4 linked regions of the Caenorhabditis elegans genome follow. The protein of the gene in region 1 interacts with the protein of each later gene in a pairwise test. Each region holds a gene or a part of one and is shown on either strand. Other genes may lie near its edges.

What was found.
Region 2: the proteins of F10E9.3 (region 1) and phaf-1 interact in a two-hybrid assay, tested with the Caenorhabditis elegans proteins (one large-scale study listed by BioGRID).
Region 3: the proteins of F10E9.3 (region 1) and prkl-1 interact in a two-hybrid assay, tested with the Caenorhabditis elegans proteins (one large-scale study listed by BioGRID).
Region 4: the proteins of F10E9.3 (region 1) and cdap-2 interact in a two-hybrid assay, tested with the Caenorhabditis elegans proteins (one large-scale study listed by BioGRID).

Annotation. Positions count from the first base shown.
Region 1 is NC_003281.10:8,308,267-8,315,431, reverse strand, and holds F10E9.3 (uncharacterized protein), read right to left. Parts: upstream 4,426-7,165; 5' UTR 4,425-4,425; coding exon 4,064-4,424; intron 3,823-4,063; coding exon 3,205-3,822; intron 3,157-3,204; coding exon 3,047-3,156; 3' UTR 2,845-3,046; downstream 1-2,844. Other genes in the region: sas-4 (Spindle assembly abnormal protein 4), read left to right, coding at 568-856; F10E9.2 (uncharacterized protein), read right to left, coding at 1,146-1,361, 1,409-1,533, 1,578-1,856, 1,905-1,986, 2,041-2,088, 2,560-2,632, 2,676-2,713; F10E9.4 (uncharacterized protein), read right to left, coding at 5,757-5,865, 5,919-6,024, 6,067-6,182, 6,274-6,387, 6,539-6,882; F10E9.5 (uncharacterized protein), read right to left, coding at 7,023-7,165.
Region 2 is NC_003279.8:8,283,619-8,291,736, forward strand, and holds the start of phaf-1 (PHAF1 protein T01G9.2), read right to left. Parts: upstream 4,507-8,118; 5' UTR 4,491-4,506; coding exon 4,431-4,490; intron 4,387-4,430; coding exon 4,246-4,386; intron 4,196-4,245; coding exon 4,068-4,195; intron 3,837-4,067; coding exon 3,662-3,836; intron 3,466-3,661; coding exon 3,362-3,465; intron 3,317-3,361; coding exon 3,204-3,316; intron 3,159-3,203; coding exon 3,085-3,158; intron 3,037-3,084; coding exon 2,975-3,036; intron 2,511-2,974; coding exon 2,435-2,510; intron 860-2,434; exon of another isoform or gene 681-859; coding exon of another isoform or gene 327-680; intron 280-326; coding exon of another isoform or gene 172-279; intron 123-171; coding exon of another isoform or gene 1-122. Other genes in the region: dma-1 (LRRCT domain-containing protein), read left to right, coding at 1-122, 172-279, 327-680; kin-10 (Casein kinase II subunit beta), read right to left, coding at 5,583-5,733, 6,266-6,455, 6,623-6,814, 6,865-7,021, 7,179-7,196; npp-2 (Nuclear pore complex protein Nup85), read right to left, coding at 7,788-7,859, 7,909-8,118. UniProt on the Caenorhabditis elegans protein: May play a regulatory role in autophagic activity.
Region 3 is NC_003282.8:6,982,414-6,990,531, forward strand, and holds the start of prkl-1 (LIM zinc-binding domain-containing protein), read right to left. Parts: upstream 4,523-8,118; coding exon 4,313-4,522; intron 4,135-4,312; coding exon 3,892-4,134; intron 3,797-3,891; exon of another isoform or gene 3,363-3,796; intron 2,922-3,362; exon of another isoform or gene 2,770-2,921; intron 2,497-2,769; exon of another isoform or gene 2,343-2,496; intron 2,135-2,342; exon of another isoform or gene 1,784-2,134; intron 1,659-1,783; exon of another isoform or gene 1,311-1,658; intron 1,158-1,310; coding exon of another isoform or gene 1,047-1,157; coding exon 909-1,046; intron 639-908; exon of another isoform or gene 618-638; intron 559-617; coding exon 499-558; intron 1-498.
Region 4 is NC_003279.8:3,324,199-3,332,337, reverse strand, and holds the start of cdap-2 (SH3 domain-containing protein), read left to right. Parts: upstream 1-1,664; 5' UTR 1,665-1,726; coding exon 1,727-1,744; intron 1,745-2,395; coding exon 2,396-2,498; intron 2,499-3,301; coding exon 3,302-3,645; intron 3,646-4,256; coding exon 4,257-4,460; intron 4,461-5,607; coding exon 5,608-5,829; intron 5,830-8,139.

The sequences.
Region 1 (7,165 bases):
AAATAAAACGAAACAAAAATAAAAAAAGAGATGTGACATTTTGCGGCAAAAAATGTCTCGGCACGATAAAATTTAGTTAAATGGGAAAAGGCGTGCGCCTTTAAATATTACTGTAGTTTAAAAATCGCGTTACTGTCGAATTGTTGTTTGCCCCTTTTTTTTTTGATAAAAACATGTTTATTAGTTTAGAAAAAAGATAAATAAACCAAACTACAACAGTCTTTATAGGCGCACGTATTTTCACATTTAAAAATCTGTCCTTTAACGAAAAAATTGTAAAATTTGGCGCCTTCAAAGAGTACTGTAATTTCAAACTCAATTTGAAACAGAATTTTCATCGATTTTCCTTAGTTAGTTTTTCGATGAATTTTAATTTATTCATTAAAAAAACTCAAATAAGTATAACGATATTTTAGCAAATAATATATTTTCAAACAAAACATGTTTCTATAATTTTTGTCTAACCCAAAATTTAGGAATATGACCTCAATTCTTCAAAAAGTTAGTAAAACAGGTTTAAAACCCCGTTATAAATATTTTTGCCTCTGAAACCTATCAAATTTTCAGATACAATCCCGGTACACACACATATCGCGACAATCAATGTCGCTACGTTCTCGTCACTGATTACAACGATTTTGAGCTCGTTGAGCCAGAATTCCGTCTTCGTTGGTATCAGGGAGATCCGACTGGTCTCAACAATCAGTATATTCTCAAGATCATTGGACGACCTGAATGCAGCGAGAAAACATTGAGACTTGAAGTGAATCTTTCCACGTGTGAAGGTACATTGGAAACTGCAGAGATGATAGGCGATAAACGTCGGAAAACAACTTTGTTCCAGTGGAAAAAATGAGAAATTCCAACCCCTTTATTTTAACTTGTGGTTTGTATATCTATTCCATTGACATTATTTTTCACTCCTGAGTGCTCTAAAATTATAATTAATTCTACCTCCTGTAAAATCATATCAAATAATTCAATCATTTTTTACTATCTCAATTTTCACTTGCCCCCTCCCCCATTTCTTTCATATTGATCTTCATGGTTATTTTATTGACTGTTATAAACAATTTTAACTTTAAATGTTCTGCACAAAATTCGGGATTCAGATTGCAAAGATTTATTGGAACACTGGAGACATTTCAAGATGATCTCGGATCTTCTGCACGACTCGACGGACTCAAACTTTGAACATTTTCGTGTGAGATTTTCTTTTCTTTTTCCGCACTTTTCTTCTCTTTCTTCTCCTCACCACTTCCATCTTTCTTCTGATCATCTACATCCAGGAGCAGCATCTTGTGACGTGTAATCTTTAGATCACTGAGACGAGTTTTCGAATCGCCGACTTCAAGAGGAGCCTACAATCATCCTTATCTTTTTATATTCAGAATATCAAAAAACTAACCGGGTCACCTCGACCAGAAAACTCGCCTTCGCCTTCTTCACTCGATGATTTCTGAGTTCTCAGAGTAATCATATGGGTCTTACCGCTGACACCAAGAAGCGTGTAGAGTCGAGCCATCAGATCGTCTGAACGATATAATTGTTTAAAAATCTTAGATTCTTAAGCTTACGATAAGTGGCATCCGTTGGAAGGCTGACAACGACTGGCTTTGAAAGGTACAAAAAGTACCAAAGACGTTGATCCGGAACCTTCTTATGTCGACGAGTCCTTCCACTTTTTGATTTGTTCACAGATCCTTTCCGAGTAGCACGAGTACTTCCTCGAATCTTTCCACGTTCAGCTCCATTATTCGACAATTCTCCAGTATGCTCAGCAATTTGTTGCGGTGAGACTTCACGCGTAAAAGCATTTGACGGAGATGTCGAAGTGGCACAAGACGAGTGGTTTTCTGAAAGATTGAACTCTTTTTATCAGATTTCTGATCAATTTCTGTTACCTTTTGGCTGAAGTGGACTACACACCAGACAGTAGAAGTGCCCACAATCAAAACGATCCAAATTGTTTAACCCAATGATTAACTGGAATAATTGGTTTGATCTTTCAAAAACCTGCATTTTGTAAAACAATCTTACTTTCTTGCATGCATCACATTGTAATGAAAAATCCATTTCATCTCCGACCTGAAAAATATTAATTTTCAATATATCCAGATTTTAAAGTGAAAGCCGCCCAGAATTCATGCACAAATAAATATACCTCGCCACAGCAGGTTACTGTAGCTCGTGTAGATCTATGGACCGCTAAATATCTTTTTCCAATGAAGCGCCAAGATTTTTTTCAAATAAAAATATTATGCAATAGCGACCCAGAATTGACAAGTTACAGTATTTCGTTGTTCGCGCGGCGAGACACTGCCGCGTAAGTTGACGGAAATTCTCATTTTTATGTAGACGTCTACGTAATATAGCCACAGCTCCAGTAGGCTTAACTTATCGTAATCTTAACGTAAACACGAAGACCATTCAAGAATATCGCTAAATTAGAAAAGTTACCAGGACAATTTATTTCGCTGTAAAACCTACTCTGTGCGTTTAAGTTCGCGTTCCAGAAAACTGTCAATATTCGAAACCTTTAATTCAAACGAAACTCACATCATCTTCAGTTTTTTCATTTGCTGAAGAAGTTGATGAGAGGACTTGCTTGGATGAGGAATTCATTCCAGTACTGAACAAATTTCAATTATCAGTGTTGAATCAAAACGACTTACTGGATTTTAGAGAGACTCGCTTTTTTCTTTTGCGACATCACTAAAATCGATTCTTAATCGGATAAAATACAAAATGATTGAAAATTGGAACTTTTTTCTTTTTTCCTGTTCCTGTAGTTTTTGTTGTTGTTATCTACGCTTTCGATCTTAACAATAAGCATCCACGTTCTATTAAATATATCATTTATTTATTATAAATAATATTCTGACTTGAATCATGTTTTTGTTATTTTTCAATTCAATGATGCCATGGATAAAACAAGAAGGGACAATTATTGGAAACGAGGAATGAAGTAGATTTTAAAAACGGGGTCAATTTGGAGAGTCTGAGGAAAAGAGAAAAAAAAATGATATAGTGACGATCAATACATTTAATTAATATTATATCTTGTGATAAGGGAAAAGAGGTCTGATGAGAAATTAGTGTATTCATCCTTATCCCGAGATTGTAGAGTGTTGAGACCATTAATAATCATCGAACCTGGAAAATTAACAAATTATAATTTTTTATACAAATTAAATTACTAACCAAGAAGCATATTGTGATGGCTGGATGCTCTTGCAATATTTCCTATGCTTTCCTTTTGAGCATTAGCCAATTCCATAGCTTCTTGAATTGAATCTCCATTAGTTTCGTGATCCCCTCCAACCATCACTTGCATTCTGACTGGCGACTGATCACGGAGCATTGATTGCACATCTATTATACCATTGGACGATGAAGTTGATGTTCCAGAAGATGCAGATGAACCTGATCCTGGAGCTGGTGACACTGCGGAAGGCGGCACTTTTCGGAAGTTTTCACCGGCTCTCCCCCCATTGTAGGCTACCAGTGAAGATCTTTTCGGGTTCTTCCCATCTTTATCCTTATCGAAATGTCTTTTTCGGCTTTCAAGAAGTCTGGCAGGCCCGAGCGACGAATTTGACCCAACAACATTTATGCTTCCCGCAATATTACGAAGAGATCGAGGCATCGGCGGTGGGACCCCATACTTGCGAATCCCAACTGAAGGTGATCCGGAAGTAGACGCTGATGTACCAGGGGCTGATGAAAGATGACGAAGAGATGCAAAACGTGTTGTAGCAATTGGAGGTGTCTTTGAAGGTACAGGGCGAAGGTTTTTGTTCAGAAGAAGAGCCTTTGGAACTGAAAATTCAAATTTTAAAAAATGGGAGGTTGTCGATTATAAAATAGGGAAATTGCTATGTATCTGGGCATTTTCCAGAAAATTATATTAAACTTCAAAGTTAGTAACTAATAATGTACAATATTTCGATTAAAAAAATTAAATTTTTATACATTTACTTACTGGTAATGCAAAATAAAATTATCAAATTTTTCTCAAGATCGAATATTTCTTATAGAATACGATTTTTTTTCAACTCACTTGCCCCTCCACGATTGAGTCCAAGTGTATTTCTGGTTGATGAAGACTCCGATGGTGGACTATTCCGACGATTTTTGACAGTAGCATCATCTGCGGTGAAAAATTGAGATAATGCTTCAAGAATACTTTCATTCTTCGTTTTACTTCCATCAATATCATCTTCCTTTTGTGCATCTTCTTCTTTTCCATCTCCATCTGTATCATCATTCTCTCCACAACTGGCTTCTCTCTCTAAAATCGGTGGTGGACCATCATCATCTTCTTCTTGTATCGGTGCAACTTCTTTATCTTCTTCAATTTCTTTTTTGATTTCCTTTTCTTTTTTCGCGAGGCTTGAACCGCGCCGGGTTTTTGAAGCCATTCTGTAAAATAATTCATTATAAATACTATGTATTTTTGAACCAAAAAAGGAGAAAATACAAAAAAAAAATTTTCTCAACAAATAGAGCTGTAATAAAACAGAAATCGCGGATTTTTCAAATTTAAATTCATTAGATTATTTTTATGGACTTGTTAAATACTAAATTCAACTTGATTTCACATTCATCAAAACGTGGTAAATTTATATTTTTGCTCAACATGGTAACGAATTGAAGCGACCCTAACCAATTAATTTTCTTTTTTCATGGCTTATTGAAGAATTAACTATAAAAATGGTAAGATTCGATATTTAAAAATAGTATTTCTCAATTTTAAGATAGCTGAAAACGATAATAAATCGGAGTGCATAGTACAAAGATATTGATCAATTGGGCTAAAGATTATATCTATTCTCGAAATGGTATGAGAAAATTCACAAATCTGGGACAAATTTAAAACGCTGAAAACCTTATGAATCCAAGCAAACTTGAAACCAAGTGAAAAAAGAAACGAACAAACCGCGGCAACGATGCGGTAAATAGTGTTTGGGTGGTAGAGACATAGACTAAAGGCGGTGGCTGTTGGTTGTGTCTCGCAACGAATAAGAGTGGTACGGTAGAAAATTGGGGTTCTGTAGGTGCGTCCATGTATCGATTAAAACTGGTTGGAAAACAGGGAGAATTATGATTTTTAAGCATTTGATGAAACTGATAGATGGGAAGAAGAGTGATTGTTTCTATCAATTGTGATAAGTTGGATTTCAATGTTGAAGCATGAAATTTCTTATTTCTGACTGGCTATATGAAAATTTTACATGATTTGACGATATCGACTAGGAAACTAGAAACTTATAACTGAAAAGCTAAAATATTCTCCTGATATTAATACTTTAAAAAAAGTTCAGATTTCACACTAATAACTCATTCAAATTTCCATATTCGAGTGATCCAACAATTTTTTTAATTGGAGCTATTGAGATCAATATCCTAGGAAGTACATAGTCATAATAATATCAAAAATTGAATAAAGAACGAAAATCCTTGTCACAAAGTTTTGATTTCTACTTTTCTCTCAGTCTCTTCGTTTTCGGATAAAAATTGAAGAAAAGAGAGCCGTAGACGAATAACAAAAACGGCTGGCACAATGCCAAAGTATCTTTGAAGATTAAAAAACTGAAGCAACTATAGAAAAAATACGACAATAAATTTGATAGGTTCATAAAGATTAAAAATAAAGTCAGAACCAAAACAGAAAAAATAACAAAAAGGTAAAAAAGAGTACAAAAATCAACAAAAATTACTAGAACAAATAATGAATAACAATCAGAGACAGATTATTCTTCCATGTCTTCATCTTCATCTTCTTCTTCTTTTACTTTTTCCTTCACATCCGTTTCTTCATCGGCTTCATCTTCTACTTCTTCTTCTTCTTTTATTTCGGCTCTGAAAAATAAAATATTAGTTTTTAATAATAATAATCTTCAATGTGAACCCACTTTTCAATCATTTTCACATATTCTCCTTTCAAGTGACATAATGAACTTTTGATTCGGATTCCGCTGTATTTCACTAGAATCTTGTCATCAATTGCAACTTGATCTTCTGAAAATTTCTCCGTTTTCAAATAGTCTAATTTTCATTTACCTGAAGTCTTGTCATTCTGCTTAATGTGAATTGTGATCATATCCATGACAACACCGACCATAAGACCTTCTTGCACATATTTCACTTTTGCTTCGTATTGATCTCCGATTTTTGGGCTGGAAATTAATTCAAAACTATTGAAATTACGAGAATCATTTTTGATAGTCTAAAAATAAATGAATTCCCTATGAAAATTCAAAATCTTACATGAAAACAATTTGATTAATTGCAACATCGGTATGGAAAGCATATTGGTCGGAAATGACACGTGGCGCAGATGCAAGATCGACACTTCCAACGGCTACGACGATTCCTTTGTATCTGAAATCAAAAATAAATATTCGTTGTGAATTATAAAATCGTTATTCAGTTTTCAGCATTCATATCATTATACAAAAAAATGTTTTTCTTGAGAATAACGAATAAAAATTAAAAATTAACACTCTTTGTATATTTTAACTCATCAACTTACTCTTTTCTATACTTTCCGACAGTATTTTGAGCAATCCAATCACATGCTTCTTCCATTGCAGCTTTTCCAGACATGTGATAAGGTAAGGAGATATGACGTGGCATCACTTTTTGAACGAGTTGACCTCCTTTTCCCTTTCCGCGCATCTTTTTGATTAGTTTGAGTCCATCTTCATAATTCATGAAAAATTGTTCTTTGAAACTTTTCTTTGATGTTTTAATGTTTGCTCCAAGAGTTCTCAATCGATATTCTTTCTTCTCCTTTTTATCCTTTGGTGCTTCACTTTCTGTTTCCTGGACTTCTGTAGTTCCATCCTCGTTCTCGATAAACTTTTTCTTTCCCATTTTTACAATTCTGTAAAGATTGGTAAACATTTGATATGAAATAATTAACGAAACAGGTAAACATTTTCGGCTCGAAAACCAGTGCATAAAAACAAATACAGTAGACACGAAAAATGCTTTTAGCTTCATATAAAGAATAGTCAAAATCTGAATGGAATATTAGGCCAGAGCTGAGGATTTTGTGAATATTCGGATTCAAACTTCATTGCCAATGTACTTTCCATTGCTAGAATCTTTGTCGCTGATTCTCCGTAATCTTTTTTCGCTTTCTCTCTTTTTGCTA
Region 2 (8,118 bases), on another chromosome or scaffold:
ACATCACAGCCAACCGATTCCACACCTTCTCGCATACAGATTTGGCATTCCTAAATAATGTTGAACAAGTGTACGTAGATGGAAATCCTTGGGATTGTTCATGTGCTATTCAAGGACTTCAAGTGAGTCTTTTCCTCTCTTATTTCTGAATTAATTCGAACATCTTTTCAGGTTCATATGCGAGATCGTTATGCGATGAGACACATTCTCAACTACGATAATGTCCGATGCGCGACACCATCGCTTGTGGAAGGTCATTCAGTTCTGGCAATTACCGACGTAAGATTCACATTCACGTTATTAATTTCACTATTTAAAAACTTCAGGTAAACGACTGTGCCGTTTTGTTTGGTGCACGGTATGGATTAACGCAAACAAGTGAAATGCTCATACTTCTCGCAGGAGTTCTCCTTTTTGCCGCACTACTTCTTATGATTCTTGGATGCATCTATTTCCTTCGTGAGCGACAGTACAAAGGATCATATGTGACACGAGAACACTCTCGAACTCCACTCACGATGGCAAACACACATAGTTGCTCTTCGAGTACAAATGATACACATGGTCCATTATCACCACCATTTGATCCATTCTTGGTTAGTACTGAAACATTTAAAGCCACTCCTCCATTGATTCCACCAGCACCTCCAAAACCTGGATCATCCTATTTTGGCATTTAAATATCCTTTTGAGAGTTTCAAATGTTTCAAAAATCTAAATCCGTGTGATTATTTGCATCCATCTAGTCGTTCGATCTCCCAGCCCCATTTTCATGTATTTTTGCCCCCTTTTTCGATACGGTGTTCAATTGTTTAACCCTTTGTCTGTAAATAAAATAAACTGCTCGTAGATATACCAAGTTCAATGAAATAGACAGGAGCCTTAATCAGCAGCATAATAGTAGTTTTCAAGAGGTAAGACACCTCTTCTCGGCCGTAAATCCGTCGGCAAAGAAGTAATAAATCGGCGAGGCTGTTGTCTTTACGCCCTGGTTCTCTGTGGGGGTCAACTCATTTGTCAAATGCACACCAAGACAAATGCATAATTGAGAAGGTTTCGAGAAGGAGAGTTGACTTTTTCGTTTAAAAAAACTCCGCGGGAAAATCTCCGTAGCCACAAAATTTTGACGTTTATGAATTGAAAATTGGTTGTTCGACAGGGACTCGTTAATTTATGAGTTTATGAGCCATTCGAATAATAAATTGATGTGCGTATGTATGTGCACACGCGCGCGAATTCGTGGATGTAGATTGCACAATCTGTTATGACACGTCGTCTCATCCGTTAGATTCCCAAGTGACACCCAAAACAATTGGAGTAAGCCAATGCCAATTAAGTTGGATAGATGACCACGAAGAACAAGACATAACTATGAAAAATGACGGATCGGTGTTCGTCGCACAAGTACACATGTAAACATCCGTCTCTTTCGATAATTACCACTATTCTATGCTTTTGAACAGTCAATAAAATTGTATACTTTCAGTTTGAGTATACAATTTTGTGATCGAATTTCTCTACGATTCAATAAACAAAAGCATCAATCTTCTGGAAGTCAACCAAAGCTTCTTGGATCAAAAAGAAGTAGTCTTGTTGAAACTACAAAAGCTAATTTCCAAGACTTGCCATCGTATGTTCGCGCGTGGTTTTAAATTAATTGACATCTTTCTTGTATAAATATTCTTTATATGGCAGCACATCTGCCTCATATTCAAAATTCCGGGGGAATTTGTTAATGAAGATTTAATATATCGACGACAAATTCAAAACCCAAAACCTTTGGTATAGATCCATTGTGGGTAGAAGCCTACTGTTGGTGTCCATAAACGGCGAATCACCTGTGTAAGGATCGTGAGCGTCGGTAAAAGTTTTCTATGAGCTAAAAAGACTACAATTTCAGGAAACCATGACGCAGGAAATTTTCAATCATACAAAAGCTTTCATCATTGACCATAGCTGTGTTTTCTTTGAAATTCTGATCCATCTTCCGACAAAAAATGAATTGACACCTTCTTTGTCCTCTCATTCAGTTTCTTTACTGCTTGATGAAATAAACTGTGCGGTGTCAAAAAACGAAGGTCATTAGTGTGTAGTAGTAATTCAGTCGTCTTCTTGTTAAATGTAGCAGATGAAAATTCGTACAAGTGTCACAAACGAAGAGTCTCTCTCTCTCTCTCTCTCTCTCTACAGAGTCGTAAATCTTTCCGGACGCCATGGACATGCAAGAGGGAGCCACCACTACGATTACCCAGATTATTATCATATGCGGAAGAAAGATTTGTCTACAATAGCCATTGCGTGTGCATTAGCGATCCCTTTCCCGGATATGTTCAATTACAAGGGATTGGAACATTAACTTCGACTCATTGACAGACAAAATATAGTACCCAATAGCAAGAATTGCTACAGTAATCTAAATCCCTAAAAACCTTACCAATCCCATTACAAAGTAGTTGAAGAAGAAATTTGGTGGTCCATAGAGTGTCTCCTTGTGAAGTCCACGATGAATTCTGGAAATTTTCAATATTCAGATGAAGCGGAAATTTTGATAAAGCTAGAAACTGTTAATGGTTAAATTTTAAAAACTTCAGTTTTCGAGAAATTTTAGGCGTTCCTGAATTTTTAAATATTTTTTTAATGAAATTTTCTGAAATCTTTTAACTTTTTTTTTCAAAATTTATCCTTTTTAAATATTAGTTGGAAAGTTGTTAAATAAATTTCAGGCATTTTGAAAAAAAAGAACTTTTTTCACAATTTTTTAATTTATTCATTGGATATTGCTGAATATCAACAAAATGCTATATGAATTATTTTTAATTGATATAAAACGCTTACATTGAAACCCTTCAACTTTTTTTAAGAAAATTTTTCTTCAAAAATTGTTTAAATTTTCAGTGGAAAATTCAACATCTATTGAAAATAAATCTAAATTTGTGAGAAAAGAATTTGAATTTTCAAGAGAACGAGAACGTACTTCATCTTGTCATCGGACTTGTAGAAGACCTTTGTCGGGGCTCCAAGAATCGATTGCACATCCTAAAATTTAAATTTTTAGAACAAATTTTTTTGATTGAGAAAACCAACCGAAACAGAGTCTCCAAAATAGATTTGTCGTGTGTACGTGGATACATCATACTCTCCATCGACAATTCTTCCGTCTGCAAATATTCACTTTTTTTAATAATTTCAAAAAATTCCAGTACTTTGAGTATCAAATTGAATATCAATTCCAACAATATTCCCATTTTCCCAAATTGCTTCGACTTTTCTCGTCCGATTTTGACCACAATAACACGAGAATGGAGTATCCACGGATCTTCAAATTTTGAGAAATAAATAGAAATAAATAATAAATTCTCACTCTGGCTCAGATGGATTTGGTCCACGATAAATGGACATCTTGGTAAGTTTTGGTTGAGAGTTGGCATCATATTTCAGCGAACGAAGATTTCCACCAAATCCAGGCTGAAATTGAAGAATGTTTGAAATTTCGGTTTTTGGGAGATATAAAAAACTTTTTGGAAATTAAAGGTGAAGTAGCGGCTGTAGGTTAGAAAAAACTCTTTTAATTTTTTACTATATTCGGTATCGTATTTTTGATTCGAAAAAACCCACAGACGGTACTCCAACTTTAATACCCAAAAAGATCAAACTACAGTACCCTGACTTCCAAATTCGAATTTTCTCCTCCATATGGGAAACAGAAAGATAATCCCGGCCAACTTTGCACATAGATATTGTGCTTATCATCATATGATCCTGGATGTGTCGATCCAAAAAATTCGTTGACCCGATCCAACGTCGCCATGTTATTTGGATCAGAGAAGATTGTATCGCTGAAAATTTTTATGAAGAAATTGTATGACTATCTTGGCAATTGAAATTGATTTTTTTTCTTTGATAGTTTCACAATGACCCGAAACGACCGAATTCAACAGAGAGAATTTTCAATTTTCAGATTTTATGCAAGGCTGAAATTTTTCGAATTTTCAAAACGCCATAATTTGTTTTAAATTCAATAGTTTTAAACGAGCTTCTGTAGTTTTTTTTTTTTGATGGTATCATACTTATAAGTAAGTGTAATCATTGAAAGATTATCCACTTCAATTAGCTTGATAAGCTGTGAAAGGCCATCAAAATAGAGACGAATTCCTGTAGAACCGATATAGATGATGATATCCTGGTAGAATGGATCCTGAATTTAATTTAACTTTATTTAAAAGTATAATTAGTTAATTTCTATACCTTTTTACTGTACTTCAATTCGACTTTTGTAAGCATTCTTGGATGTTGCTGAATCATTGCAATACATTGATTGATTGGCATACCAAGCACAAATTCGAATTGTGAACTTTTTAGACCAACATCTGGTACAACCTTGAATTTCTTTGGAAAATATTTATTATTGATTTTTTGACTTTAAAACAAACCGTGAAGCTCAGATCTTCTTCAGTTGATGGTTTCTTTGTGACTTGCTGTTTTCCATTCATTTTCGATGATTCAAAGCTGTAAAAGCTTTTATTTAATTTTTGAAGAGTTGGAGAAAAAACAAAGAAGAATTTTTAAACTATGATTCACAAGAAAAATATATATTAAAATTGAGAACTGATATTTACTTGGTATATTCTTTTCTAAATTTTTTTTCCGCCAATAGTACGGTACCCGGTCTGGGCGCGACGATTGTTTTCTGAAAACAAATGGGTCTGCGCCTTTAAGAAGTACTGTTATTTTAAACGTTCATTGCTACTGAATTTTTATCGACTTTTCATACTTTTTCCCACGATTTGTAAAAATTTTGTGTCGTTTTCTTTTATTATTTTTTTTAACAAATACATTTTTACCGAAAAACACTGAAAATCGATAAAAATTTTGCAGCAACGATAGTTTGATATTACAGTACTCTATAAAGGTACACGTCCGTTTTTATTTTACAAAAAAGGCGTATCGAGACCGGGGTATCGCCTTTTCCTCGCAAAATTTCACGTTTATGCAATATAATTTAAAAATATATTGGAATTAATGTGAAAAGCTGTTCAAAAGTTTTTTCTTCAGGTAAAATATGGAGCGTTTTCAAAAATTGTAATTTTGAAATATTTCAAAATAAGCAGAAATCAATGTGCTAATCGTTAACCAAATCAACTGGAGATATTAAAACCGTTCAAATAGTAAATAAAAAAGAAAAGAAACACATGACGTCGATGGCAGAATCGAAGGCTGTGACTGAGAGACTGCAGTAGAGCGCACTTTCCCGCCCAGCTGTTTCCGCGTGACGAAGACAGGCACAAATAAATAACGTTGCACTTTTTACACAGAAAATTAGGAACACTCTTTTTGAGATGTATGGGATCTACCGTTTCATTCATTTCTTAAATTCGCATAATGTTGGAATAGAACAGATTTAGAAAAGAAGAGAAACACGCATGGAAGAACCGCCGGATTCTTGAGTTTTGTCGGAAAAGAAAATTTTGGGGAGAAGAAAAAACGAAACAATGAAGAAAATAAGGATGTTGTGTTGAGAGGGGGGACATTCTGAATGGAAACTGGAAAGAAGAAATCAAAACAAAAATAAGGAAGAAAGTGGCTCAGAGACCATAATTATTGAATTGTCCTCCAGATTGTTGCCCGGCTGGAGTCGTGTTGTTTTGTGCTGCGGCAACGTTATTCGCCGTATTTCCGCCGCTGTTTCCCTCCTGTCCTCCATAAGCAACAGGATGAATTTTGAAACCGTAGAGTCTGAAAATTTTGATATTTAAAAATTTACACATAACATAATTATTATTGTACTAAGTTCTGCTAAATTTTTAAAGTGGATAAAATATTATTGTTTGATCTTCTAATTTCTAAAATTATTTCGAATCTAATTTAGTACAGCCAACTTATTTCGGCAATAGAGTAAATCTTCTAATTTCAGTCTACCAAGTCAACTTTTTGAATTAAAAATGATTTTAGAAATGTGTCAAAATATTTTATTGATTCGAAATTGCAACTTATTCTTGTTGAAATATTTGAAAAAAGATCTCAAATAGAGCCTGAAAGTTGCCGAATGCCGAAAAAATAACCTTCAGACACTAGTCGTTTTGAATTTTCCAACATTATTAAGTTGTGTTTTCGAATCAAGCAAATATTTTACTTCATTTTTTATTCAAAAAGTTTAATTGGTATACTGAAATGAAAAGATTTACTCGATTGCCGAGATTTTAAAGATTTTTTAAATTAGAATTTCGGATTTTCAAATATTTAGCTTAATATATATCCTCTGACATACTTTGGAACGAATTGAGTGACTGGTCTGCGTGGACGCAGATCAGGATGAACAAAGAAGAGCATATGTGGGAATCCGGTGCCAAAATAGCTTCCATCAGTATGTTGATGACGTGATGATCGTGGAACGAAAACATCATTGCAACGTGGACAGTACAATTTCACCATAGCCTCGCCAGGAACATCAGACAATCCTGGAAAAATTGGAATTTTACAGAAATTTTAGTGTAAAAACAAATATTTGTTTTAAATTTTATTGGAAATGCACTTTTAAATTAGGAAAATTTAGTACTTTATAGTTTCACTTTTCTCAAAAAAAATTATCCGCAACCAATGAAGTAGCGATTTTTTTATAACTCACCAATTGGAAGCATTGGCTGATTTTCACAGTAGACACGTGGGCAAACTCCAAAGTCATGATCACGCCACTTTTCGACCATCTGTGAGATTCCTCTATTCGTAAGAATATATCTAGCGTGAATGAGTCCATAAAGCATTTCAGCGGCTTGTTCAACAAGATCAGTGTTCGTTGCGTTATCCTCTATGTCATCTTCTAGAAAAAGGTTACATTGCGGGGGCACATGAAGTCAGCAAAAATATCACCTGGTTCTAAGTCAAGAATCATGTCAAGAGCCTGTCGATACTTGGGCACTTGCTCATTGAGACCTGTCAAATTGAACCGATCCTGAATATATTCCTCGTCGACTTCACAGAAAAACTCATTTCCACGAAGGCCACAGAACCATGTGATCCATGATACCTGAACAAAAAAAAAGATTCGAAACTAAAAATAAATTTCACCAATCGACCATAAAACTTGTTATTAAATTCATAGTTTAAAATATAAATCATTAAAAAAAACGGCTATTTAGATTTTTCTGATTGTTTTCCGCAGAAAATAGAAATATAATACAAACCTCCTCCGAACTACTCATGACTTCTGATCCAGACAAACTAGCGCTTTGTTCTGACTGCGAACCAGACTCTGCCTGTAATCAAAAGAAATTTTTTTTTGATAATATTTTAATGATAACTCACCGAAGTGGAATCGAGTTGGCGCCAGCGAGCAGAAGCCGTGGCGTTCACGTCGATGACTGGCCGAGTTGCGCGCAAAGCACACAACTGCCTGAAATTATGGGTACAGGTTGGGTGAAATGGTTCAGAATTATTGAAAAAAGCAGAAGAAAATCAATAGATCACAGTCATGTGCGCCCACATAAATTCATAAACTCCAGCAGTTTTCTGTCGAAACAGAAAAAAGAGGACGAGGGAGCTGACGAGGCCTTGTGGACGTGCAATGGGGCACGGTTGCATAGCACATAGGTCACTATCGATCTCTGGGGAAAACTCGAAAAGAAGGTAGGTTGGCCTCGAAATTCAACGAGTTTGTGTGGAAAACCAAGTAATAGTAAAAAAATTAAGAGATGTGATCCTTATTCACATACAAAAAATTAAATTTTCTGAGATCCCAGAACAAAAAAGAACATCGGCAAATGTAAATAAAATAAAATTAATTCATAAATTATTCAAGAGCACGCAATTCCTTTCGCAATCGAGTCTGTCAACTTGAGCATTACCATCTTTTTGAGCACTTTCACCTGTAACAATTTATAATTATATGATCATAAAAATGTCTATAAAACTTACCTTTTTCATATAATTATCATTCAAATCTCGATGTTTATCAAGCGTAAACGTTGACAAAAAGGTTGAGAGCTCATAGAGAATCTCCTTGGAAAATCGGATTCCAGCACGCCCATCCTCTTTGATAATCGTGATTAAATAATCGAAGAGATCATAGTAATACTGAGTTGGAACATCAGGCATCATAATAAGCGGTATCAGATGTTGAACACA
Region 3 (8,118 bases), on another chromosome or scaffold:
ATCATAATGAAAATTGGGGAGCATAGGTTTTTCAACATTTGCTATCGAACTGCACTAACACTTTTTCAAAAAATATTTTGAGAGGCTCCATACCGCCAAATTGGAGGGGGGTGCTATAGAAGTTGGACGCACTGTAGTACACACGTACCAAATTGAATTATATCTATAGGTATAATTACGTTTTCTTTTTTACAAATTATGTTTCAAAAACCAAAAATTCAAATTTTCAAAAATGTTTCTTAGCAAATCTCCCTTTTCTTCTTTTCCAAACTATTTTTACTATTCTTTTTGCTTTCTTGTCCTCAATTATTTCAAGTTGCGACACTTTTTTCTCCTCCAACCGCCGGCGCTTGGTGTTTCACCAAATCGCCTATCATAAAAGTTTGCACACCACATGTATCGGAAACTCAAAGCAAACAGTGTAAGGGGGCCATAAAATGGATGGTTCAATTGTTATAGTAGAAAGGGAATATAAAGTACAAAAATAGTGCTACTCACCTCATCACACTTGGCACATCTCGGCTTGACCTGTTCAGCATGGTGTCTTCCACAGTAGATCTGCAAATTTTTACTGTTTTGTGAAAAAAACATAAACTTTTATAAAACTTTTATCACGGTCTCAAAATAGAATGATCAAATAACATCGTAAGACATCCCAAAATTTTTTTTGTAGAGATGATGAGTCTGCAGTAATTCTCGAAATTTTTCAATTTTAAATCAAATTTTAAAATGAGAAATTTGACAATTAGGCAAAACTATTACCGAACATTTTTGACAAATCTAAAAATGTTTGGGTTGTTGTTGATTATATAAAATTGACTATATGTATTGACCATTGACACATTGTCTATATCTTCCAAAAAATTCAATTTCTGATAGTAAAAATTACTTTTTAAAAAATTCCTAACCTGATTGTCGTGTGCAAAATAAATCAAATCAACAAGTAGAACATCACACGTTTGACACCGAAAACACGATGGATGATATCTTTTTCCAGTTCTTGCAGCCATCACACTGATTTCTCCTTCTTCAAGACGTTTTGGACACTGAAAATTTACATATTCTAGTCGTGTTTTCAAAATTTGTTGAATAATTGAATAATCCTGATTACTCCAGAACGAGTTAATTTGTAATTTGTGTCTCAATTTCATTTTCATTTTCTCATTGAAATCCGGAGAGATGATAAAGATCTAAAATCCAACATCTTCCAAATGAGATGTGCCATTCAAATTCATCTTCAAATCTCAATCTGTCACATACAATTTGTTCACATTTTGTTGCGTTTTCGCTATGCAAAATCTGGCGAAAAGAAATGCATTAACAACATGTAGTACAAGATATTTTTCACTGTTTCAGAAACAAATAAAATTAATCGTCCAAATTCTTCATTTTATTGTTAGGACAGTCTCCACAAAATATACTCCCCGCCGTCTCGAGCAGGTGTTTTTAATGAAAGCAAAAAAGTATTTATATGGACTAGATTACAAGATAAGTAGCAACATTATACGGTCAAGTGCATCCTCCAGCCGGTGGTTCAGTTTCTCCATGTGTTTCTATAGTTATGTAAATACAAGATGGTATGCCCCTACTGCTACCCTCTTGACCGTCTTAGAATCTTTGTTGGTAGTTGTAATTTAAATTTATTTTTAAGAATCAAATATTTAAATTCTCAGTTGTTTAAAGTGTGCACATTGTGAATTTTCTCTTCTGTTATAAGTTAAGTAACCTCCGCATTAACAACAGACATGTACAACCATAAGTTGATAAGACCTCGCGTCTAATCTGACAACCAGACACCTAAAATTTTGAAATGGATTAGGCAACAGACACCTCTAAACAGAAAAACGTGACAGGGTAATCCTAGGGAAAAACTGCCTGTCTTCTGCCTACGCCTGGGAGGCACGTAGAAAGGTAGTGAAGACGTACCTACCTATTTCACAACTTCAATACTTTTGTTTTCCAAGTTCTTGTACTCAGCTAATCCTCAATATTCGGCGATAATTACTTGTAAACTATCAACAACTAACAAGTACCCTTGACACGCACACGGGTAACAATTGGAACTGACACATCCAATTCAGAAAACAACATGACACTGCCTGAATTGTCTACAAAAGGCAGATGTTCCCATGTCTCCTAATTCAGGTCTTCAAACCAGATACTTGGAGGGGCAACCAACTGGGCGAAGGGTATCAAATGCGCGAAAACCCCTGACTATGAGAGGGATCCTCTAAGAAAAGTGATTGATGACATGGTAACATGGCACCCAGGAAGACCATCTGTTCGGCACTTCCCTTCCAAAAATATACTGTTTCTTTCACCCTATAATTGACTTCTTGCTTTCCTTCTCATTTTCCTTGTTAATCTTGTTATGAGTAGTGTTTAGATCAAAACGCCCCGCGCGCGCATATCGGAAGAAGCTTTGTTTGATCTACCTACCATCTACCCATGACCGGATTAGATTAACACTGAGACGGCTCTAATCAGATTATAACTCAATGAACAAACTAAAGAGAACGAGCAGAAGGAGCGGAAATTGAGTATATTACTGTACATAACATTTACATTTACTAACTTAAGCTAGACCCCTAGCAACCCTTGGAAATTCAAAAGCAAAAATTCTAAATTCCTAAAACGAAAATCCAAGCTAACCCCAACAATGAGCCCCGTTGTCTCTCCTATTAATAAACATGTAACGATGCATAGGTAATTAGCAGTGACTGCTGCTGCTCAGCTTCTCCTCTGACAAACAGCCGGAGCTTCGTAGTAAAAGAAAGATGGATGAACATTGACAATAATTGCATATTGTCTATGACTCTATCTCTGTTTCTCTATTTCTCTCCAATATTTAGATGTTGCAATAATAATTGCAGACAGTCGGTTGCCATTGAATGAAATTATCGTCAGTGGAGATTTATTCGAAATCCACTTATTATAACACAAAAAACCACATATCATAATTTAAATACTTCAAAAATGTTCAGTTTTTTCAAAGTTTCAGTTAAAGTATGGGTGTATTGTTTCAAAAAATGTTAAAATTTAAAAAAATAAATTTTGAGCATAGTTTCGTACTACTAGAATGTTTAAATAGCAGGTTCGTACAACTAAAATGTTTAAATACAAACGATTAAAACGAAATTGGAAACTCGTAGAAAGTATTTTTGAACGCCTTCCAAAATTATAGTAATGAAAAATGAGTTTTTCCCACTTTTTGACTGTATGTAAAATAAAATCAAAAATTTATTTGAACATTTTAACACTATACATAGAAGCTTTTTTTACGGTACTGACGATACCTTCAAAAACGATATCAGAAAATTAAAAAAAAAAGGTTTATTTTTCGACGAATTTTCATGATTCCATTTGTCCCTTTCAAGTTGCTGCAACTATTCTCATGCCGTACAAAAATCTAACACCTAAGCAGCTGGCTTCCCCCATCGAGGTCAACAACCTCTTCTTCTCATTCTTCAGAACTTTTTTGCCGCACTCTCGTAAGTGGGACTATCCGAGAGCAGACGGCCCTCGCCGTTGTTAATGAGCATGACCTTTCTCAAATTTCCGTCATTGTTTATTCTCAAGTGTAAGACAGTGCCTACACGTTGGGAATGCAAAGGCAAAAAGCCGCCCGACAAAAAAGAAGCCGTGAAGATGATGATGAGGAGCATCCCAGCATAAGCATAGATGATGGTGCGCGGAAAGAGAGCGCTCGCGCATAAAGATTTATGAGTTTTGGGGATGGTGCGGAAAGACGAAAAAGAAAATGTTGTTTATGGTTTCATACGCCACAGTTTGGCAAGATTTACGGTTGTGCTCAAATGGGTCGAATGTCATAATAAGGCCGGGTGACGATTTTTCAATAAAACCAAACAAATTTTGATGGAAAATACTAACCTTTTCACATTTTGTATCAAATGGAGCATATTGAACAACACCACTTCCCAGGCATTCAGTTTTTCGAGTTCTTTCAAACATTCGCAATGTATCCGCTTCTTCTGCATTTAAATCTTCACAATATCTAACATCAGAATCCTGTGGTGGTAGTTGATAACGTGATTGACGTTGTCGCCATTTTTCTCCAGCTGATCCAATGAATGGTACCTTGTTTTCCGGGAGACAGGCGAAGTAGGCATGAACCTGTAAGAATTTGAATTTGAATTTGAATTTGAATCAGTATTTGAAGTGCACAAAAAACCATCTGTTTTGAACGGTCCACAGGTTGTGAACATTTTAATTGGTCTAGGTTTTGGTGTTCAAAAACCTAATTCAATTGTTCTTTATTGCACACGAGATCATTCAAAATCTCTATACTTACCATATTCGGCTTCAGACCACTAGGCACCCATGCATACTCGTCCAAAGCACATCCACTGTCATCATCAGATGTTGAATGCCTGTGAGCATCAGCTGCAATTCGGATTCTCGAAGCAGGCGATAGACCACCTTGAGCTCGACGTGATGAGATGAGCTGCGGTGCGAATTGCTCCGATGCTTCGAGACGACGACGGCGAATTCGTTCGCTCATCTGAAATAGGGACTATGAATTGAAAATAACACATTTTCATAAGAGAATGGCAAATTATACGATAAAGTTGAGGTTGACTTGGAAAAAAAGAAAAATAGTGTATGCAAAATCACTTCAAAAAAGCCTCCAAAAAAGGGTGTGTTAAGTGTTAAGTGTGAAAAGAAGACCAGTCCCTCTCTATAACCTTTTTGCTGCCATATAAAAATGTCAATCACTTTGGCAACACCATCACCATCATCCACAAAACTAGACCGGTCTCTCCATTGCCCCGTAAATCCCCACGACGACATCTGACCGTTTCATTTCTCATTTCACTGCAGAAAAGGACATCGTCTTCTTCGTAATGTTGATTCAATTAGAGAAAAAGATTCCGAAATCTTCAACTAGAAGACGACGTCCCGTTGAAGAATGAAAAATAGTAAAGAATCGGGAGACGTGTGTTTATGCTAATTTGATATGGCCTTGTAATAGAGGAATGACTGTTTGCCGTCGCGCACGCCGCCCCGTTTTGTCTCTGTCATTATACTGGTAATAACGGAAAAGTGACGGTAACTAATGGATTAATAGGAACATCTCAAAGGAAGAACTTTAAGATCTCAACGAATCTAAAGTTTTACTGTTGATTCCGACTTTGCGGTAGTGTGTTCGCAAAAAAGTAATAAAAGTAACAAAATTTACCATGATAGTTCCTGTGCATTTTAGAATGTGAAAATTACATACGCTTCATAATTTATATTTGAAGCATTATTCTATTATAGAGATTGTGGCAAGATCCATCAAGAGGAGTAGAAGACACCTTTAAAGTCTCACGTCATGTTTTCACAAACTCTCGGTACTTGAGGATATTTTTATAAACTATTTTCTAGGTCCTTTGGAAGTATTAGTGTTTTCACAAAATTTTATTACTGTTTCAAGGTGGCCATAAATTGCGAGGGTAATGTTTTTGAGTAATTACAACTGTTATTTGTTGTTAAGGAAAAAATTGCTGGCACAATCTTTTGAGAAAAATAAAATGAGAAAAACGAGCCATGAAAAAACTATTTCGAATATTCAAGTAACTCGAGCTTTTGTGAGAGCGGAGAAAAATTATTGTAAGAAAATATAAATGTGTGTTGGAAAAAATATAGGAAGGCGTAGAATGCCTAGTTTGAAAATTTCTGTAAAGATGAAAATGATTTCTGCTCAAGCTCTTGTAGCAGTTCTGAAATTGCCATCACTTCACGATTTCAATATTGAACGCAACAACACCCTGTACTACCAGAACACCAGAATGTGTATAGCGTACAAAAAATGACTCATTTTGCGGTAAGAATGAAATTGTGAAAATTGAAAACTTAAAACAAAAGTGAAACTAATGTGGAGGGCGTTGACCGGAACCGCATGGAATATCTCCCATCAGAACCCAAAAGCTACAAGGATCCTCCCACATCAACTAGAAGGGTGAGACGCAGACCGAGAAGCAGTATTTTGAGGGCGGGGTTAACAGTCTTACCGCATGTGTTTATGTACCCCTCATCTCGGCCAGGAAGGGTCTATATATGTGTGTGTGTCTATGGGTGACAGGTGTTATGATACATCGGTACTAAAGATGTTATCGGTTAGAGATTGGAAGTCCCTGGAGGGTATTGGAGTTGGTTTTAATCTAATAGAGGTGAATAGAGTTGCGGTAGATCAAAAGTTGAGGGCTCTTTTTCAAGTCTTAGATGTAATGATTAGATTACTATTTAATTATGAACTCTTATAAGATACTAAGATACTAATTATGAACTCTAATTTCCGCTCTCAAGCCTGCTCCAACAGAATTTCAACGCCTATTAAAACGGTAATAATTCCAAGAAGAAGACCGCACAAAAAAGCGACGCATTGAGGACAGGGGCGCAATGGTGAGGACCGAACGAGAAAAGACAATAAATCGTTTTTGACACTTTTTTGCGTCGGTGCCCTATGATGCGCATGTGTGAGTGAGACGAGAGACAGACACCTCACATCACGGAAGACAGCCGGTGATGGTGATGATGGTGCATGAGAAGGGGATGAGGAGGAGAAGGTTCATTAACAGAATGCATATCATGATATCAGAATGTCAAACGTTTGCCCGAAAAAGATACCATTGGCCCAGAAGTTGCCAAAGCTTGGGCCGAACTTGGGTAAGATTTGAGCGAAAATCGGTTGAGGCCGCACTGAAGTTTAAAAAAAAACCAAGTTTGGCAAATCCCCTTGAATGCTAATATTTTTGTAAATAATATATTAACGTTTCAAATTGTGTTGCATCCACCGTTTGGAAATTTTGGTTGTTTCTCATATTTTTATTATAGTTTCAAGGTGGCCATAAACTACTTGAGAATTTTTTTGAGTATTGAATAATCAATACTAGCAAACGTTTGGCAAAGAGTTGAAATGCCGAGATTATTTTTGAAAACAAGGTCTATGAAAGTTGAATTAAAAAACGTTCTAAAGTGTTGGAAAAAGTGGTTGGTATATTGCGATGCAAGACTGTTAGAGGGTATGAACGGAAAATATCGACAATGGCCTGAAAATTCAAAATACGATTTCAGTTTACTAAACTCTATTCTGAAAGTGAATAGTTTTCAAAGGTTATGTTAAAACTTACATTTGAACACTTTTAATTACTCAAAAGAATTACCCTCGCCATTTATGGACACCTTGAAACAGTAATAAAATTTGGAGAAAACACCAACACTTCCAAATGACCTAGAAAACTTTCCCGTCTTTCTTTTTTTGTGGTTCCCATCATAGTTTTCACCTCGTGTTTCGTTCAACCGAACAAAGATTAGAATGTGAAAAAATGAAGGAATGGAAGTTGGTGCGCGATGACCGTTAAAATACATTTGATGTGAACTTCAATTTCACATTTCACGGTTACTGTCACCAAATCGAGAATAACTGGGAAAAGGGATGAGTGTATATTACATTTTTGCAAACTACTGGTAAGGTTGCACGAATTTATTATACTAGCATACAAAAATTGTTGTAAAGTTGGAGGAAAAGGGCTAAAAAAAAAGCCAAACTTTTCGAACAAAAGAACCTTTAGAAAGAGTCTTAAAACATGATAATCGATGATCATCGTCGCTGATGACACTCCTTTTTTATACCTCCGATGCCCTTTTAATATCAATAAAGAGAAATAAAAAGAGGTATAGGTATACGTTCCGCCAAAACGGAACGAGAGATGATTGTATGCATACATTTGATGAGATGGAGAACACATTGTGGGTGATAGGAGGGTGTCTCTCTACCTCACCTTGTGCCCGTATAAGTAGTTGATATAGTATATAAATAAACGGAAAATGAGAGGGAGAGAGAAGAGGTATAGAGATAAAATTATAATGATGGTATTATGCAGTCAATTGGAGATGTCTTGTTAATGAGTACTGATAAATTATTCTGTTTAATACAAGAGATTCATACGAAACAACGAAAGCTTCATTAACTCTAAAAGTACGTCGGAACTTTTCACATTAAAATTTGTTCTATAAAATTTGAGAAACAGTAATAAACAATAGTTCAAACTTGAAATTTTAGAGAAAATGCAAGTTACCATTACGAAAATTATAGAGGTTCGTAAAACAGAATAC
Region 4 (8,139 bases), on another chromosome or scaffold:
CCCTGGTTCCTACATCAGTTTTGAAAAGCAAGCAAATTCTATGAAAATATTCAAAGAAAACGGGAAAAAATTTCAAAAAGGCACAGTTTTAAGTGTTTCCGTCTTATAAAAAATCCCTCTAAACATTTCCGGCAAATCAGCAAACCGGAAAATTGCCGGAATTCAAATATCCAGTAAATAGGCAATTTGCCGATTTGTCGAATTTGTCGACAAAAAAATTCGCGCGATGTTAAAATCGAAAAAAAAACTTTAAAAAATTGAGATTTTGTCAGTTTTCTGCATTTTCCCAAAAATTTCAAAAGCTTTACGGTTTTCAAAAAAAATAATCGAAAATCAGTTCGATTTTTTGGTCCAAAAATTTTTTTTTGGTTTTATTTCAAAAATATTTCGAAAAAATAAATTTTGAGTCCTTTTTATCAAAAACAAGCGCGAAAAATTGATTTTTTGAAGGAAAAAATTGAAAAATTCGATTAAAAAAGTGTTATTTTGATTTTTAGACAAAAAAGTCTCGAAAATCGATTTTTATTCAATTTTTCCACCAATAAAACGAGATTTTCTTATCCTTTCCAAAAATGGAAATCATTTATTGTGACCGTTATTACTGTAACACAAAACTCGTAAAAATGCGTATTCCGTAACATATTTGACGCTCAAAATATCTCGTAGCGGAAACTACAGTAATTCTTTAAATGACTACTGTAGCACTGGTGTCGATTTACGGGATCTCGATTCTTGACATGAAAAAAGTAGTTTCTTTGTATTACCTATTTTCTCACTTTTTGCTTAATTTTTAAATCTTAAATTAAATTATTTGAATTCATTTCAAAAATCGAGCCCGTAAATCGACACATGCGCTGCAGTAGTAATTTAAAGAATTACTGTAGTTTTCGCTACGAGATATTTTGAGCGTCAAATATGTTGTGCAATACGCATTCTCACAACTTCGTGTTACCGTGTAATATCCGTCATAATGAATGAGAAAGCGTGTCAAAAATTTGGAATTCTCACATTGTTTTCAATCTAAAAATTAAAATTACACTTTTAGTTCAAAAAATTCGATTTTTTTTCAATTTTCGTTTAAAAAACCGAGATTTTAATTTTTTTTTCTTTTCAAAAATTGAAATTTTACACCTTTTTTTTTCAAAAAAAATTTCGAAACTTTCACAATTTTTTCGCATTCTCAGAATTTTGCATTTTCGTATTATATATTCCTAAATATGTCATCTCGATCAAAATATAAATTTACGAGATTTTATTGTTTTGGCCGCGTTTTTTTCTGTTCACAGGTCATCAACGCATTGAAGAGGGGGGTGGGGGAGGGGGACACGTTCGAAAAGTGATTGATCTTTCCCGCGGCGGCGCTCGATAGGAGACACCACTGCGATGACTCATTCGGGGGAAACTCACACAATTGAAGAAGTGAAAATTGAAATTCACTCCACGTTTTTTTTCAAAATTTTTCTCCACATCTCCCCACTGATAACAGAAGTTTTTGACTTTATTGCCCCACATTTTCCACCATCACTGCACAAACAATTCCTTATCGATTTTCGCCTTTTTTTTTGGCCGTTGTTTGGTTTTTTGACGTTACCTTGGAAATCTTGAAAAAATCACAAAAGTCTTTATTTAATTTTAAAATTAAAAAAAATTGTGATTTTTTCCAGAATTGTATCCGAGAGCCGCCTTGAACTGTTTTTTTTGTTGGACACTCGCGGATCGAGGACAAATGGCACAAGTTGGTGAAGTTAGTATATTTCGTAATCTCTTTTTTTTTTTTTTTGGAAAATTGAGAAAATTGTCGAAAAAGTCATGAAAATTGCAAATTTTTTGGATAAAAAAAATGAGAAAATTGCCATTATTTGATTAAAAAAATTAAAAAATTCCGACTTTTTAGAAAAAATAATTCGATTTTTTAGTATTGAGATTTTTAAAAAAGTGTGAAAATTTTGTTTTTTTGCAAATAAAAAACATTTGAAACATTTCCGTTTTTGGAAAAAAAAATTGTAAAAATTAAGATTTTTGGGCAAAAAACGTAAAAATGTTATTTTTTGATTGAAAAGATTTAGAAAAATGCGATTTTTTTGTCAAAAACAATTGGTAAAAATAAGAGTTTTCGGAAAAAAAGTGTGAGAATTTTGATTTTTTTTTAAAAAAACAGATTGTAAAAATTATGATTTTTTGAAAAAAAAGTTACAATTTTTGGGATAAAAATATGGGAAATTTTGGGATTTTTTAGGAAAAGTGAAAATTTTTTATTTTTTCCAAGTAAATGTGTAAAAACTGCAATTTTTAAAGAAAACATATGTAAAACAAAAGAAAATCGGAAAATTGTGATTTTTTGAAAAAATAAAAGACTTCAGATTAAAATCTTTATCTAAAAATTGCCAATTTTCAGACAGAAGTAGTCGCTGGAAATGTGCGAGATATTGTGAATCGACTTTCCCGAGATATGACAAATCGAAATCCATTTACAGTACATCAACAGGTGGAACGGAGAGGTTTGTTTTAGAAAAAAGTTGGAAATTTTGAAAAAAAAACCGAAAAATTTGAGAATTTCAGTCGAAAAAATGAAAAAAAAACCGGAGATTTTCTCATTTGTGAAAATTTTTCTTTTTAAATGTTTCTAATTTTTAAAATTTAATCACGTTATTTCGAGCACCAAATCTTTAAAAAATCATGGAAATCGTGGCGAGACCCATTTAATCCAAAACCGGCGCCTTTAAAAAATGTTTGGATATTTTTTCAGTATGTATAATATTTGAAAACTGGAAGAAAAACTATTTTTGACGAATTTGAAAAAAAAGATAAAATTACAAGATTTTTGTAGAATTTAACTAGAAAAATGTTCAGATTGGCCGTTTTTTTGCTCCGAATTTTCTAGAGCTTTGGTCCGAGAAAATAGGAAAATTTCTCAAAAAGCTCTAGAAAATTCGGGGAAAAAACGGCCGATCTGAAAGTTTTTCCAATTAAATTCCACTAAAATCTTGTAGTTTTATTAATTTTTTTTCAAATTAAAAAAGATGTTTTTTTCTTCCAGTTTTCAATTATTATTATTATAACACTGAAAAAAAGATCCAAACATTTTTAAAGGCGCGGGGCTTGGATCGAATGGGTCCCGCCACGATTTTCGTGATTTTTTCACGATCTGGTGCTCAAAAACTCGTCGAGGGACAATATTAAAATAGCTCTAACAATTAAAAAAAAATCATGAAAATCCTGAAAAAAAATATCTAAAAAATTCGAAAAAAAAAATTAAAATTTGTGTAAATTTACAAAAAAATAATTTAAATATTTTTTGCAGCTCCCCCTCCACAACCACAAGCTCAAATATACGTGGCCACGTATGCCTACAGCTCAAAACAAGACGATGAGCTAAGCTTTGTCGTCGGAGATCTCATCGAACTGATCTCTGATGTTGAAGATGGCTGGAGTAAGGGAAAACTCAAGTCGACTGGAGCCGTCGGAATGTTCCCGACGAATTTTGTGACGTTGAAGCCTACGCCGAGCACATCTGCTGCTGCAGTTGCTCCAGCGGCTAGTGCATCAACTTCGGCGGGCTCAGCAGCTCGAACTCCGGCAAAATCGATTGGAAGTGAAGTTGTGATGAGAAGCGAGCCGAAAGCTATTGATAGAACTCCGTCGACGGTTCGTGTAGCGAAAAAAATCTGAAAAATCCCAAAAATACAGATTTTACTTAAATATCGGTGCCTGAGACATCAGTTTTTATGGCAAAAATTCAAATTTTTGGAAAAATTCAAATAATTTAAATAATTGAAAATCAACAATTTTTTGTCGATGAAATCCGGAAAATTGGCAATTGCCGGTTTGCCGACTTGCCGGAAATTACGATTCCGCCATTTTACCGATTTGCCGGAAATTTAAAAGTTCCGGCAATTTGCCTATTTGCCGATTTATTTTTTGATTTTCAGCTAATTTTTCATTCAAAAAATATAAATATCCAAACATTTTTTTTTTAATTTGTTCCAAAACTCTTTTTTTTCAGCTTTTAATTGTAAGTTTCTGGTTAGAAGTGAAAAAATTTTTTAATTAAAATTTGTTACATTACAATTTTTTATTAAAGTTATCTTCGACAAAAACAAAAAAAAACTGAAAAATTAAATTTTAAAAAACTGAAAAGAAAATAGTTTTTTTCCAATTAAAAAATTCCATAAATGGCTTCTCAGCACTTTATTCAAACATTTTTTAAATACAGAAACTGAAGAATTTCACTTAAATCAAATAAATCAAAATTTCAGATAATCTCGGACCCGGCTCCAGTGCTCAAAGCCTTGGAAACCAAATTCAGCAGCACATTTGCGAGCTCTGCAGCCTCGGCGAGCACAGACGCAGAAACTACGAAAACGAAAGAAATGGCTCGCGTGAAATTTGTCTACAATCCCCAACACGATGATGAGCTGGCTCTTAAGGAGATTGATATGCTGATTAATATTACAAACAAGGTGCAAATTCACTGAAATCGGAAAAAAAAATCAGGATTTCTGCAATTTTTAGATAAAAAGTTGGAAAATAAAATGGGAAAACCTTAAAAAATCGGCGAAAATTAAAATTTTGGGTTTTAAAATTGTTAAGTAAACTAATAAACTAATATATTTTCAAGCAAAAAAATTAAAAATTTGAGGAATTTATTCTACAAATTTCAAGTTTAAAGTCTAATTTTTTTTCCAAATTTTAGACTTTAAATTTGAAATTTGTAGATTAAAATCCCCAATTTTTAATTTTTTTTTTCATTATATTTGCTTGAAAACGTCATATTTATAATAAACTCCAACTGGAAAAATTATAAGTTTAACAGAATTTATCAAAATTCAAATTTTCGCCGAATTTTTTATCCCCAAAAATTTTCAGAATTTAAAAAATCGAAAATTTACTAGAAAATTTCAAGAAATTTTTTAAAGTTGTTTTTTAAAAGTTTTTTTTTTGCTAAAAATTTGAAATTTTTTGCGCAAACAGTTTTGACTTAAAAAATCTTAACAAATTAAAAAAAAATTTTTTTGAAACGCTGCTTTTAACAATTTGAGAAATTTTATTCAAAGAAAACATAACCTAACATTTATTATTTCATATTAATTTTTTTAAAAAATTTTTGCAAAAAAAATGTCTGAAAAATTCAAAAAACGGCTCTTCAAATCAAATATTAAACAAAAAAATTAATAAAAATTTGGAAAAAAATATTTCTAAAAAAAATCGATAAAAAAATTGAATACCCTGAAAAATCCGGCAAAAATTTTAATTTTTGGGTTTTAAAATTTCCGAATTAGACTTTAAGTTGGAAATTTGTAGATTAAAATGCCAAAATTTTAATTTTTCTCTTTTTTTTTTGCTTAATAACAATTTTAAAGTCATACTCATGCGAAAAATAAATATTCTAAATTTTTATGATTTTTTTAAAAAACAGTTTCGACTTAAAAAAATACATGGCCTGAAATTTATAATTTAATATTAATTTAAATTTTCAAACTTTTTTTGCAAAAAAAAAAAAATTCAAAAAACGGCTCTTCAAATCAAGTATTAAACAAAAAAAGCTATTAAAAATTTGGAAAAAAATTATTTCCCAAAAAAATTCAAATTTCTACTAATTTTTTGCAGAACTGCGGTGACGCTGGATGGTTTGAAGGTGAACTGCACGGAAAGAAGGGCTTATTTCCGGATAATTTTGTCGAATTGGTTCAAGTCCCACTGGGAACGGAATCCGGTGCCAGACATGGGTCGATTTCACGTCAGGCGACATTGACGTTTGTCTCTCACAAACCACCACCAGTCAATCCACCACAACCGGCTGTTCCACCGAAACCCGCGAAAATTTCAGTGGTGAGGAGGGGATTTATTGAGAAAATTGAAAAAAAAATGTTTCACTTTATTTCTGGAAATAATTAATCCTAAAGTTGTGTGATTTTTTTTTTCTGAAAATTCCTTTTTAAAAAAACCGAAAAAAATTCTGAAAACACTCCAAAATCGGTAAAATTCAAAAATTGAAAAAAAAAAAAAACTAGAACATTAATATACATAGAAAATTCGAAAAAAATTGGAATTCGCCGAAAAAATTGAAATTTTTTTCCGTTTTATCGATTATTAGCAGGAAAAATAAAAATTTAGGTTTTTTTCGCTGAAAATCGAAAACTTGCCAAAAAATCCAATATTAATTTATTTTGAAAATTAATATTTCCATAGAAAAACTTTTTTTAAAAATCGTTTTTTTTTAATTTTGAAATATTTGTTCAACAAACAATCTTTATTTTCCTGTTGAAAATTAATTTTTTAAATTAAAACTGGTGATTTTTAATCTTAATTTTCAGTTTTCAAATTAGTTTTGGTTAAAAAAAACCGGCAATTTCCCGAAAATTTCCGGCAAATCGGCAAATTGCCGGAATTAAACATTTCCGGCAAATCGGCGAATTGCCAGAATTCAAAATTTCCGGCAAATCGGCAATTTGCTGGAATTGAAATTTCCGGCAAATGGGCTAATTGCCGGAATTACATTTTCCGGCAAATCGGCGAATTGCCAGAATTCAAAATTTCCGGCAAATCGGCAATTTGCTGGAATTGAAATTTCCGGCAAATGGGCTAATTGCCGGAATTACATTTTCCGGCAAATCGGCAAACTGCCGGAATTAAACATTTCCGGCAAATCGGCGAATTGCCAGAATTCAAAATTTCCGGCAAATCGGCAATTTGCTGGAATTGAAATTTCCGGCAAATGGGCAATTTGCCGGAATTCAAAATTTCCGGCAAATCGGAAAATTGCCGGAATTCAAATTTTCCGGCAAATCTGCAAACCGTCAATTTCCCGAAAATTTCTTGCAAATCGGCAATTTACCGGAATTCAAAATTTCCGGCAAATCGGCAAATTGCCAGAATTCAAAATTTCCGGCAAATCGGCAAATTTCCAGAATTCAAAATTTCCGGCAAAGCGGCAAACCGGTGAATTGCCGGAATTTAAAATTTCCGGCAAATCGGCAAATTTCCAGAATTCAAAATTTCCGGCAAAGCGGCAAACCGGTGAATTGCCGGAATTTAAAATTTCCGGCAAATCGGCAAACCGACAAATTTGCCCACCCCTGTTATGTAATAAAAACTTTACGAAAAGTAGGTAATCTGAGAGCCGACGCCGAAATTTCTTTACGACGGGGGCACCTCTCATGAGTTTAGAAAAAAACGATGGAAAAATCAAATCTCCACCTACTCAGAATATTATGTGAGAGACACAGAGACACCTCATCCTCCCACGAGAGAAAAATTCGTTTTTTTTTTCTGTCTCCCGACATACACACACACACTGAATTCTCGATCATTGGGGAGAGCTGTCGGCGTCTCTCACACATTCCCTCACTTTTTTTTTGCAATTCTAATTCAATCACTACAACAAGAATTCCAGTAAATGTTTTTTTTCCTAGTTTTTAGACTCTTTTCCAGTACAAATTTTCGGCGCCATTGAATTTTTAAAAAAAATCAGAGACCACATTATTGTGTGCAAAATAGGATGATAATTTGAACATTAATTTCCAGTCGCTGTGATTGAAATAAGTTGACGAAATTTCAAAATTTTAAGGAAAACTTTACTTTTTTTTCCAATTTCAAGCTGCCATTAAAGCATTTTTCGAGAATTTTTGTTTTGGCCAGTTTTAAAGGTGGAGTACCGAAATTTGAGACTTTGTCTTTTTAGACCCAAATTGGTCCAAAACTACCGAATTTCGTAATGAGACGTTCTGAAAATTTCTCAAAAAAAAAGTTATGGCGGTTCAAAGTTCTGCAAAATAAGGCCCATTTTCAGCTAAAATCAAATTTTTTCCAACTTCTCGGTGTTGCAACGTCTGGAACCTAATTTTTATATATTCATCACTTTTTAATAAATATTGTGGTCTTTGATTGGGCGTTTATTCGTTGTTTTAAGCACATTTCTGGTCAGTGGGACACAAATAAAAGTTACATTTTGTGCCCGTCTGACCATAAATGTACTTAAATCAACGAATAAACGCCCAATCAAAGACCGCAATATTTATTAAAAAGTGATGAATAAATAAAAATTAGGTTCCAGACGTTGCAACACCGAGAAGTTGGAAAAAATTTTGATTTTAGCTGAAAATGAGCTTTATTTTTCCGAACTTTGAACCACCATAACTT